Linked DNA regions of Schizosaccharomyces pombe. The gene in region 2 interacts genetically with the main gene of each other region. Each region holds a gene or a part of one and is shown on either strand. Other genes may lie near its edges.

Region 1 (4,342 bases), on a different chromosome or scaffold from region 2:
GTTGAGTCACATCTATTTCGCTTTACTCTATTGATTTATGCAATTTGCGTATGACACTAACTTTTTATTTTTTAGTTACCTCTAAAAACTCATAGAATGAATTCCACTACTCCGACTTATCATCTCATTCCCAAAGGCGGTAAGCATGGCGAGTTCCGACAGGAATCTGACACCTTTGGTCCCATACAAGTCCCTGCAGAAAAGTATTGGGGTGCTCAAACTCAGCGTTCTCTTCAAAACTTTCGAATTGGTGGTGAAAAAGAGCGACTTCCTCTTCCCTTAGTTCGCGCATTTGGAGTTTTAAAGCGTGCGGCTGCTTCTGTTAATCGTGAATTCGGTTTGGATCCCAAACTTGCAGATGCCATTGAACAGGCTGCCCAAGAAGTCATTGATGGTCGTTTGGATGATAACTTCCCCTTGGTTGTTTTCCAAACTGGCTCGGGCACCCAATCCAATATGAACAGTAACGAGGTAATCGCTAATCGTGCCATAGAAATCCTTGGTGGTACGTTAGGTTCGAAAAAGCCCGTTCATCCAAACGATCACGTTAACATGTCTCAATCTTCTAACGACACTTTCCCCACTGTTATGCATATTGCCTCTGTTTTGCAAATTCACACTCATTTACTTCCTGCCATGAAGCACCTCCACCGGGCCTTGAAGGGTAAGGAAGAGGAGTTTAAGAACATTATCAAAATCGGTCGAACCCACATGCAAGATGCCACTCCTCTTTCTTTAGGTCAAGAATTTTCCGGCTATGTTACTCAGGTTGGTTATGGCATTGAGCGCATAAACAACGCTCTTCCTCGTCTTTGTCTTCTCGCTCAAGGTGGTACTGCCGTGGGTACTGGACTAAATACTTTTGAAGGATTTGACGTGAAGGTTGCTGAGAAGGTTTCAAAGCTTACAAATATTGAGTTTAAGACCGCCCCTAACAAGTTTGAGGCTCTTGCAGCCCATGATGCGATTGTGGAGATGAGTGGTGCTTTAAATGTTATTGCTTGTTCTCTTATGAAAATTGCTAACGATATTCGTCAACTTGGTTCTGGCCCTCGTTGTGGTTTAGGCGAATTGATCCTTCCTGCTAATGAACCTGGAAGTTCAATCATGCCAGGCAAAGTAAACCCCACCCAATGTGAAGCCTTAACAATGGTTTGTGCTCAAGTAATGGGCAATCATGCCACTATTACTGTCGCTGGTGCCTCCGGACACTGTGAACTCAATGTTTTTAAACCTCTTTTAGCAAAGAACATTCTAAGCAGTATTCGTCTTTTAGGGGATGCTTGCGAGTCTTTTACTGATCATTGCGTTGTCGGCATTGAGCCAAATTACGAAGGTATTGCCCGTCATCTTCGTGATTCCTTGATGCTTGTTACTGCGTTAAATCCTCACATCGGTTATGATAACTGTGCCAAGATTGCCAAGACTGCTCTTAAAAATAAGAGCACTCTCAAGCACGAGTTTGTTACTTTGGGTTTCGGTACCCCCGAGCAATTCGATGAATGGGTTCGCCCTGAATTAATGATTTCAGCTAAGAAAGTATAATTTTTTACCACTCTACTTGTTGGTCCGTTAATATTGGATCATCAGTTGTTGCTCTTTATCCTTTTTCATGCTCTTTATCCATCCTTCTCTTTTATCTTCTCTCAACTTACTTTTTACGAAAATCATTCCCCTTCTCATAATATTAACTAGCTTTTTTGCAAAAATACCCATTATGTTAAATGAGTTTTTTTTTCTTGCACAAGCCATAGGCTCTCAAACAAAATAGTAGGCACTCATTTAAAAAAAATGGTTAGTTCGTGAAGTAGATTAATGCGTAATTTTGATTAAGTGTTTCTTTGTTTTCCACCCCTACAGTTATAGTCGTAAACCAAGAATGCAAAGGTGTTTGATACCCTTTTCTTTGTATGTGTATTTCCTTGATATTCGGTTGCTCGGTTAAAATTAAGCTTACTTAAACGAGATAAAATTGCCTCTTGCCTGATTTCAGCCGATCCATCGCCAATATACGGGATCTGTTAAAAACAAGCCAAATGGATAGTATAGAACTCATACCAGGCTTACCAGGACCCGGTAGAAGACTATTACAGTTATTGAAAGATCTCCCTTCAAACCCGTCGGTTATCGTTCGTGAAATCCCTGATGCCATAGATGCGTTCCGTGAAAGTATAACGCCTGCTACAAGGCCATCATGCTTAGGACTCTTGGATACCATACTTAGTTGTTTTGAGCTTCCAATACCTACCGAGCCGATTATGAAGGCTTTGGGTAAGCTGCTTGAGCCAATGAGTTGGGCCGATTTGAAAAAGTTTGGAATTGAATCTTACTTGGTTACTGGACTTGAACATCCTTCTACAGATGTCGAAATCTTTTGTCTGCACCTTATACGCCGTGCAAATTGGGAAAAGAAGGAGATTGGTGAACCACTGTTTGAGGCGATTATGGCATGCATCAACTCTCGAAGCATAGCAGTTTCCGAAGAAGCTACTGTTTTGCTATTCGATATGGCAGATTTTCCATACTACTTTAATTTAATTATAAAGCGTTTTACATTTGTTGACTATGAAATTATGAACTCTACGCTGAGGGTACGCTGGTTGACACTGTTCGCAAAACTGTCTACGAAGTCTCCAGAATATTTGGAAGAACTGATTAAGGACGACAAGCTTGTAATTAATGGTGACAATAAAGACATATTGCTTCAAATTAATTTCGTGGATGTCCTTGGGATAATGTTAGAGGCTCCTTTTACATACGAGTATATAAGTTCTGAAAAAACAAAGTATTTGGACACGATCGCTCAAGACTACAAAGGTTCAGCGGATTCTTATACGGATCATATTGGATTAAAGTTCCTTCCCAGGCTCTGCGAATTGCATCCAGACGCTATTAACTCGTTGGATGAGAAGCATCAACTATTTGACGCTGTTCGCGAGAGAATGAAGACGAACGATGCTACATCTATTCTTCTTTACGGAGTTTTTTTGTCTAACACAGTGGTAACTCAAGCACTTATCAAGAAATATGGCATTGAGGACGAAGCTAATCGTTATGTGCCAAGATGGTTGACAAGACGATTTTTGATGGACGAACCGGGTATGTCTTCTTTTGCTCATGCTCTTTTACAGCCTGATCATAATTTGTGGATGCAGCTTTGGAGAATATTACCTCCCAACACCTTGAGCACTTTAGTAAACACTGCTTCTTCTCCGATTCCTCGTTCTAGGCAACTAGCATACCAATGCTTGCTACACATTGCTCAAAATTCGCCTATCCAAATTGCTTCTGAAGGATTCGCTATCCGTCATTTACTTGAAGCAGAAGGTGACCATGAAACATGCTTACTGCGGTTTCAAGTGTTAAAGACCATGATGGAATCTCCTCATGGCGGACCCAAGCTACCTTTTGGTAGATATCGGGAAGACATTCTTAAAAGACTACAGCAAGGGCCGATTGTTAGCGGTGCTTCAACGTTAAAAGTGGCCGCAGAAACTGCTTAAGTAGTTTACAACTATTATATTCCAAAAAATCTTGCTTTCTTCTATTATTACAGCAAGCAAAATTTTCCCTCTTTTTCGACTTCCTTAAACGTCAGGTTCGTATGCCGCTTTTTTTGAAATATGATGTATAAAAAAAAATGGCTGTTAGCTATAGGGATAGTGTTTAGTTTCTTAACATGGATATTTATAGTCCTATATATTTTCACAAATGGAAAGCTTTTATGAATTGCAATTTCACTTTCACTTGGCAGTCTTTGGGGACGGAATTTATGGATGCCACCCAAGGCCTTTTGTCAATCTAATAATTATGCAATTGTCTACTTGTTTCTCAAAAAATTTAATTAATAACTATTTTATTTTGTGCCCAGAACAGCGCTGTAAAACTGCTTGAATACCAAGCGCTATTATATTAAGGTTAAATCTTTAATTCCTCTTGAATATCAAACGCAAGTTTTTTATTAAACTTACGAATTCATAATAGAGTTAAACAACCGTTGAGCATTTGTGGTTATTACCAACCTTGAGATTTAACCATTGATGGTCAATGGTTGATGAACCAATTGTTTTATTATTTTTTTGTTATTCATAGATATCAACTAAACTAATTTAAAATAAGCGTAATGGAAATATTTGTCCAACATGACTCTCTTCATTAGGCTGAGCTACGCTTACTAACTACCTACTTCCACTAGTATTTTTCCAATTGCGCTAGCAACCTTTGATTTACTCTATGACAGTTAATTTAGAAGAAAAGAGGCCTGAAATTGTTGGTCCTGAAAAGGTGCAAAGCCCTTATCCTATTCGCTTCGAAGGGAAAGTTGTTCATGGCTTTGGTAGAG
Region 2 (4,099 bases):
TGTATCTGTTAGGGAAAAGGAGAAATCGCGCAGTGGTATAGAACGATTATAAAAGAAATGAAAATCTGATACGCTACAGATCATTACATAAGAGGCTGATGTAGTGGTAGTAGCATTATGCAAATTTCGTTATTTTACTATATCGTGATTGCCCCAAACCATAATTCGTCATTCCTAGTTTACGAATTTACGAGTTCCATTAAAGTGGTATTAACGTGTTTTTAAAAGTACTTCACTAATTATCGAAAGCTGTTCATGGAAAATAGACTGCCAATTTGTTTTATTCAAACTCAGAATATCAGGGTTTCACTAATGCTGCTTGACTTGAAACATAGCTAATTGAAAAAGGAAAATTGCTCTTATTACCCTTTTTAATCGCCGGCTTTGCTTAAAAACAAACGGTTTTGCATTGCTATGAAAACCCTCGACATTCATTTGATAATTGCCAGGTACAAATTTACGTATCCTTACTGAATAATCGTAATATGAACAAATAAATGTTGTACCGTAGATAATATTTCTTAATTTTGAAATATATTAACTTTTCTTATTTCATTATGTGTATCCAAGAGCCAAGTTATATTTCTCTTATTTTAAACAGCTTGATAAATACAGGTTTTAAACGATTCAAATGATATCTGTTTGTCTTTTAAAATAGTGGTATGACATCCCATAAGTGTAAAAAAAATTTTTTTTCTTTCTGCCTTAATTTTTTCGGAATTGTGCATTTAATCCAAAACCAAACAAATATCTGAGTTTGCCAATTATATAGTCAGTAATACACCACTATAAACTATTCAACTAAAATACCCAAAAAAAAAGGACAACTAGTAATGAAAAAACAATGATAATAATAAATGAAAGATATATAATTGACTATTTTAAATCATGCATAATAAACTAATTTAACGTCTGAAAAAACAACCATTGATTTTTTAAAAGTTTCAAAAATTGTGCTTCACCCAATTTTTTACAATTAACCAAAAAAAAATATAAATAAATAAGTAAATACACGTCGAAGTGATAAATGCCAAAAAAATGATTCCATCGACAACCAACTCCGTCGATATTCACACCCATTATAATATATGCTCCTTACTTCTTTGGTATTAAACAGAAATTTTATAAATTAGACCGTTTTCCTCGAAATCCCAATAAAGAATGCAATGGTACAATAAATAAGGAAGCTTGAAACAAGTAAAGATCAGATGATAACAAAATTAATATAAGTAAACAAGAAATTAGGTCAAAGAACGACTAACAGAATATAACAATTTTAGAACGATTAGCAAAAATAGTATGAAATTTCAAGGGAATAAAAAGAACTTCACTGGATATCGTGTTTTCCATTTAACAATTTCGAAAGAGTCGTATACGTGAATTTGGTGATTCTATTCAAAGGAGAAAGTGATGTTCTCAAAAAAAAAGAGCGATTCCATAATCAACGACCATAGTATGTAGGACGAAATCGGAACCAAATTTAAATAAAAATCAACGCTTTTCATCTGCGGCCACGTCCACCACGTCCACCCATGCGTCCACCACCGCGGCCGCCGAAACCACCGTGAGGACCATGAAGTGGGCCATGATGGCCACCACCGATTCTTGGACCAAACAAAGGGCCTCTGGGAGGAGGAGGGGCGTAGTAAGCACGGTGACCACGAAGAACACTGCCGGCTAAAGCTCCAACCATGAAACCTCCTAATCCAGCCGTCATAGACCGTGAGCCGTCAGAAGAGCGAGGCACGTCCTTTTGATAGACGACGGTAGTGGTACCGGGAGGAGGAGGAATATGCAAGCCTGGAATAGGAGGCTCCCACTGTGGTTGAGCACCTTCAAACGTTTCATTAATGTAAAAGTAAGCTTGATAAGTTGGATCCCATTGGGCGACCCAACCAGCTGGCAAGCCCTTGTAAGTTTGATAAACAGACATCTTTCGATAAAGTAATTAATGAGAAACTGTAACTTAGAAAAAAAGAAGTAGTGAGAAGTAGAGTATGTCTGTTAAGAATTATTAATAGACAGGCACAAATGTCAAAAGAAAAAAAGAATTAGCAGCGAAGTAGAAACGGTATGTATAACAAGAAAGAATTTATGATCTCGTTATAGTAAGAATGAAGAAAAGATTAGAATAACGAATGCTTTGAAAATGAAGCAAGTAAAAAAAATGATTGATTGAAATTAGATTGACGAAAAGGTGAGGAAAACTCGCAAATAAATAAAGCTTTGCATTAGGACATAGCCGACGGACAATACGTCACTTTTGTGGGGAAATGATGAGTTATTGCGTAGTTGTAGTGTGGAAGCGAGTGCGATTTGAACTCTTTTTCTTCCATCGGAATAGAAAACATATGAGCGGGGCCGAAAGCTGCCGCAATCTATTTTGCGATTGTGTACCCGATATCCTAACAGCAAAGCAGTGAATTGGAAGATGAATTTACTACAATATCTGTAGTGTCTTTTAGTTACATTCAGAAAAGAAATTGATACGAAAATGTGCACGCTAAAAGCTCAAACCCATGTATACTTATGATCTTCCAATTGTACAAATTATTGCTATTTTCGCTAGTCTATAGATCGATCAGCCATTGACGTCAGCGCTCGTTTAGTATTTGAAAACAAACGCCAAGTTAGGTGTTTGTTTATTAATGTGTTTCTTTGGGTATATGAGTGTATGAAAATTCGACTCAAGCTCCTGTTAACACTTGATCTTTCTTTTGAATCGCGAATAGCATTGACTCCGATATCTCGGTTCAATTTTTTTGAGTAAATAGTAAACGTACGTTTCATAAAACTAACTTTAACAAAAAATTATCTACTTAGTGAATTAGTTCTCACTTGGATAAATACTTGTTTTTGTCAAGCTTTTAGCATGGTCAATTGATATCAAAAGGAACTCACTCCAAAAAAAATCGACCCCACTTGGGTCCATGAACCTCTCTTGTCTTGCATCTCTCAAGGACTGGATGGATGTGGGGGTTCGGGGAATCAAGAGTTTTCAATGGAGTAAGTGCAATCAAATAAATCAAAGCGACAAAGGATTAGAGCGAGGAGACGAGAAAAGATGGAAATACAATGAGTAAATTCGTATTAAAATTGATATCGTTTTAACGAAGGAAAAGAGAAAGTTACTCTACGTAGGTTTGCAAAAAAAAAATATATAAATGTAGATGTAGATGTAAAATTAATGTTAATGAGAAATTTGAAATTAAGGAAGCATAAATAGTATGGAGACATTATAGTTAATATGGACGATGAGTTAAAAGGAATAATTGGTTTAAGTGAAGCTAAAGAAAAATAAAAATAAAAAAATAAAAAGATGTCATTTAATATTAAATTTAAAAAAGACAACACACACATAAGAACTATTCAATAAAATAAAATAAACACAGTACAATAAAATAAAATAAATAACGATCTAACGAAACAGGAAAAAAAAAAAAAAATAATATATTACAAACAAAAAACAATCTCAAAAAGCTATCTTATAATTTGAGTATCCTAACCATAATATTTATTAACTCATATGTAAGTTTATCTTGGTAGAAGCTTTACCTTTAAGAATTGACTTCATTCCTACTCGCATCGCATTTGTTGCTTCTATTTTAGAGATAAAAGCTCTTTTAATTGAACTTATGCTTTTACCAACACGGCACGTGAATCAAGTTAGAATAATAGTCTAAATGTCCACAAAGGGTGGTTTCTCGTTCTATGAATAAATATAGTAGTAGCTTAGTGAAAATTCCACGGGACATTAGTTTATATAAGAATAAAAGTGAATGTATGAAAATTACATGTGAAGAATAAATTTGTGGTAAAATACACGTCTTTTAAAATATAGCTAATAGCACACATATTTTGAAGCATGCTTTATATCCTGCTCTTTCAATGCAAGGTTATTATCCCATTCTGAAGCCACATACCATCAACCCACGAAAAATCTCGTTAAATAAACAACACCAAATTTCCTTATTGCTAATAGGAAGGGCGGGATGAAAACAATCAACCTCAAAAATTTCTCCCTCTCTTTAATTACCTGGATGACCAGTCATTATAGAACGAATTTATTTTCTCCACTTCTTTCTATATCTTAAGGTTC
Region 3 (3,693 bases), 1.3 Mb from region 2:
TGTGTATCTGTGAAATGGCTTTGTTATAAATAAACAAGCAATTTAGTAACAGAGATGTAGATATTTTGGATATCTTTTTTATTTTGATTAAATCGTGAATATGCGATTCATGGCATATACTCAGAGTATGAGAAACGGCAGTATTGGTGTGCAACACAAAACTGTCTTGAAAGTTTTTTTGTCTCTTTCATTTTGTTCAATTTCTTTAACAATTACACTTAACATTTGACGGACAATACTTGTGTATTGGGTCGATGACTGTCTTCATTGCTTGGTGTATCCGGCGGTAAACAAAATGGCAAACATTTCTACTTTGCCCACAAATATATAGCTTCATGTGGTTGATAATGATTATTTCAGCACTGAAAATAAGAGGTTGATATACAATGAATGTGTTATTCATAAACTACACACGGTTATTAATGCCTTCTACTCCAAATGATTGCATCGATGGTTTCTGGACTGACTTAACATACAAAAATTTATTGTCATCAATGTTATCATGTGTAGCAATTGATTGGGATCTCTGCAATTTCAAATTCAGAAGAGAGATCAGTATTGTTGATGGGTTTTTTGGAAACATGCCAGTTTCTGAATTCTTCTTCTTGGATGTCAGGAATATGCAAAAGAATTTGAGCTGCCGTTATATGTAAACAATGTTGCACGACAAAACTGAACCACGGCAGCCCACTCAACGCTTGCATCAGCGATCGTGCCTTGTCGGACCATTGCTTGCAAAACCTTGAACACAATCCGATATAGTGTATTGATTTTAAGAATAAATTTAACTGCTCAACCGACATTCCATGAGCTTTGAACAATTGATTAATTGTGGAAATAGGAAATGAAAACGTTTCAATGTACAAACAGGGGGCAGATAGGACTTTTATCATATAAAGAAACTGATCTATGTTTTGAGGGCATGGGTAATTGGATCTGTACAGTTCCTCTGGGACCAATAGAGAGTGTTCTCCCTTAGTTATTTTATTTTCTAATTCGTCCTCCGAGCTTTCTATTCCGATTTGGGCGCTGGGCGAGTGATTTTCGGTATCATCCTTTGCATAAGTATTTGCCATGTAAAGCATAGACCGCATTGCTGAAAGATTCTCCTTTTTCAGTTCGCATTGCTGTCCACACAATTGGCAATTGTCGTGCACTTTCTTCCACCAGATCTTGCCACGAATTATATTAGGGTATTGTTTTCGCAATCCTACAGGTAATTGCTGAGAAGAAGCAACTCTAAGGTGTCTTAACTGCCATGTTTCTGCACATTCTCTGTAAATGTAATACACTTCCTTTAATCTATGAAGAGATTTTTGGATGTATGTATTGTTTGGGTCCAGTTCAAGTGAATGCTCCCAATCACGATTGGCTAAGTGAGGATGTCCAAGTCGCAAATAAGCTAGTCCTCTCCTCCATATCACTTTTTTATCATACGGATTGATGACTAGAGCATATGTACAGTCATGAACTACTTTAGTATAGCTGCATGCAAAATAAGTTAGTTAGCATAAAAGCAAAACTGCTGCAAAGGTTCAGACGATGTTTTTTTTTCTTTCGAGAAACCCCGTTAATAATCCAAAGGATTCTCTGAACCTTTGTGACATAGGTAATTTGTTAAATTTATTATGTTACATACGATTTTTTGCGCAAATGAGTTAATGAGCTATCGGCGTAAACCGGTGTAATGGTGTTTTCATTTCCAATTGCATTAAGGAATTCATCAAAAACATCTATTTCTCGTGTGTTCTGTTTATTGAGGGTTAGAAACGTTACAAACATCTTCTGGTAATCAAAGTAGAGCATACCTCTAGTGCAACATAATTGCTTTTTTCCACCAAGTTTACGTTCTCCTTTTCTTCCATTGCGATTTTGAATGCAGATGGTTCAAATCAGATGGAATGTCAATCTATTTGTTTATGTGGTAGAACAATATTGGAATGTATGTGTGAAGGCATATCATAACCATGTGCACTTTTGTAAACAAACAATAACTAAAATTATATTTTAAGCGATAAAAAATACGCAAATAAAATTAATTTAATATTTAGATATTCATACTTTATTACATTTCTGTAAAAATCAGGTTTTACAACCAAGAGCATTACTAATTCTATTTCATGTGGTAAACAAAGCAAAAAGCACGATTTAAAAGTGCAGTTTTTGAGACAGAGAGACGTTATTAGTTACATCGTACTTAATTACAATAAATATAAAAAATAAAATTAAAAAATTGACTTATTCCAACAATATAGAAACTTCATCGTGAAAAAAAGTAAGTCTTTGAAACAAAATATTCATTATTGGAAAAAAATATGTTTTTATAAAGAATAATATAAAATAATCCAAACCCCCCAAAAGCAAACAAAATCCTTATGCAACACGGTCAACGTCTCCAGTTGAAAACCAGAAATTTGAAAATAAAATTATCCCAAGGAAAAAAATCTGAGAAAAAAGATTGATAATTAGTTCTTAAAAAGATCTCGGAGTTTATATATTAAATGGTGAACTTAAATTTACTTTTTCTTCAAAAATTTCGAAAAGTTACTGTTCTTGGCACGCTTTCCTTTCTTTAAATGTTTCTTTGCCCATTTGTTGCGATTGTTGTCACGAGGACCAGAAGTAGAGACTTTAGGCTGATCAACTTCCATACCAACGTTATCGGATACTTCTGAACTGCTGACTTCTTTCAAGGAATTATCGGCGATTCCCTCTTCTTTGCTAGAGGATGACTTTGTAAGGTCATTGACCTGGTCACGTAAGTGCGCAGACAAACGCTTAGTCCGCTCATCAATTACGGGTTGAAAAACGTTTTCTCTAAGCTATTACTTTGTTAGATAATCGATAAAGAGGTATGAGAAGGGCAATTGTTTTAAAGACGGTTCCATTGTACATAAACCGTTTCCGAAACCAAAAAAAAAGACATTCAATCCCTTCATTTGTCTATACTATACAACATACCACTTTTTTATTGCGACGAATGCTTTTTGAACGTGCTGATTTTGCCATTGCTGATGTGTGAAAAAGTTGAATGCAAAGGTTCATCCATTTTTACAAAACTTATATCATTTAAAATAGCACGCTGGTATTCGTTATAAGCTATACCGTTTGTAGGGTACGCAGGGAAAGCACTATTTAGCAGAATGTATCATGAAGTTTTAGTGAATAAAGTAATTCATATTAAAATACGTACTACATATGTCTGGGCGGTTCACCGTCTCTTCTACCCTTGAACCACAATAAGTTAATTGAAAGAAATAATTTGGGCAATGTAATATACAAGAAAGTATGTCGCGTAAAGTTGTATTATGTATTTTTTCGTATCGTTATATAAATATACCTATTTATTTTTTTAACGATCAGTTGGATTAAAAATACGTTATGCTTCCATTGTGATACACTATTTTACATTATGGAAGTTTTAAGAATGCATTGAACTTCATTGTCCTTCAGTCTCATCCAGCAGCCTGCTTCCCTCTTTGAACAACTAATAATTTTTTTGGGCACTTCCAATTGAAAGGGTATTTAGAGCTTTGGACGTTGAATGCGAAACTTGTAAATTAAATCACTTCTTCTTTCTCTTCCGTTAATTATTTTCAATGGGTAAAGCAAAAACTACACGCAAATTTGCTCAGGTAAAGCGAGTCATAAACCTTAAGGATCAACGATTGCAAAAGAAAGATCAGAAAAAAG

The links. Genes that interact genetically often act in the same process or in processes that back each other up.
Region 1: mutations in wwm3 (region 2) and SPOM_SPCC18.17C together harm fitness more than expected from each alone (negative genetic interaction), as found in Schizosaccharomyces pombe (one large-scale study listed by BioGRID).
Region 3: mutations in wwm3 (region 2) and mug93 together harm fitness more than expected from each alone (negative genetic interaction), as found in Schizosaccharomyces pombe (one large-scale study listed by BioGRID).

The regions. Positions count from the first base shown.
Region 1 is NC_003421.2:1,985,834-1,990,175, reverse strand, and holds SPOM_SPCC18.17C (proteasome non-ATPase regulatory subunit), read left to right. Parts: upstream 1-2,000; 5' UTR 2,001-2,036; coding exon 2,037-3,503; 3' UTR 3,504-3,842; downstream 3,843-4,342. Other genes in the region: fum1 (fumarate hydratase), read left to right, coding at 76-1,545; riboflavin kinase Fmn1, read left to right, coding at 4,234-4,342.
Region 2 is NC_003423.3:200,370-204,468, reverse strand, and holds wwm3 (protein wwm3), read right to left. Parts: upstream 2,189-4,099; 5' UTR 1,934-2,188; coding exon 1,502-1,933; 3' UTR 846-1,501; downstream 1-845.
Region 3 is NC_003423.3:1,459,891-1,463,583, reverse strand, and holds mug93 (TPR repeat-containing protein), read right to left. Parts: upstream 1,866-3,693; coding exon 1,809-1,865; exon of another isoform or gene 1,750-1,808; coding exon 1,640-1,749; exon of another isoform or gene 1,486-1,639; coding exon 501-1,485; downstream 1-500. Other genes in the region: ribosome biogenesis protein Llp1, read right to left, coding at 2,517-2,822, 2,962-3,009; rRNA endonuclease Utp24, read left to right, coding at 3,600-3,693. UniProt on the Schizosaccharomyces pombe protein: Has a role in meiosis.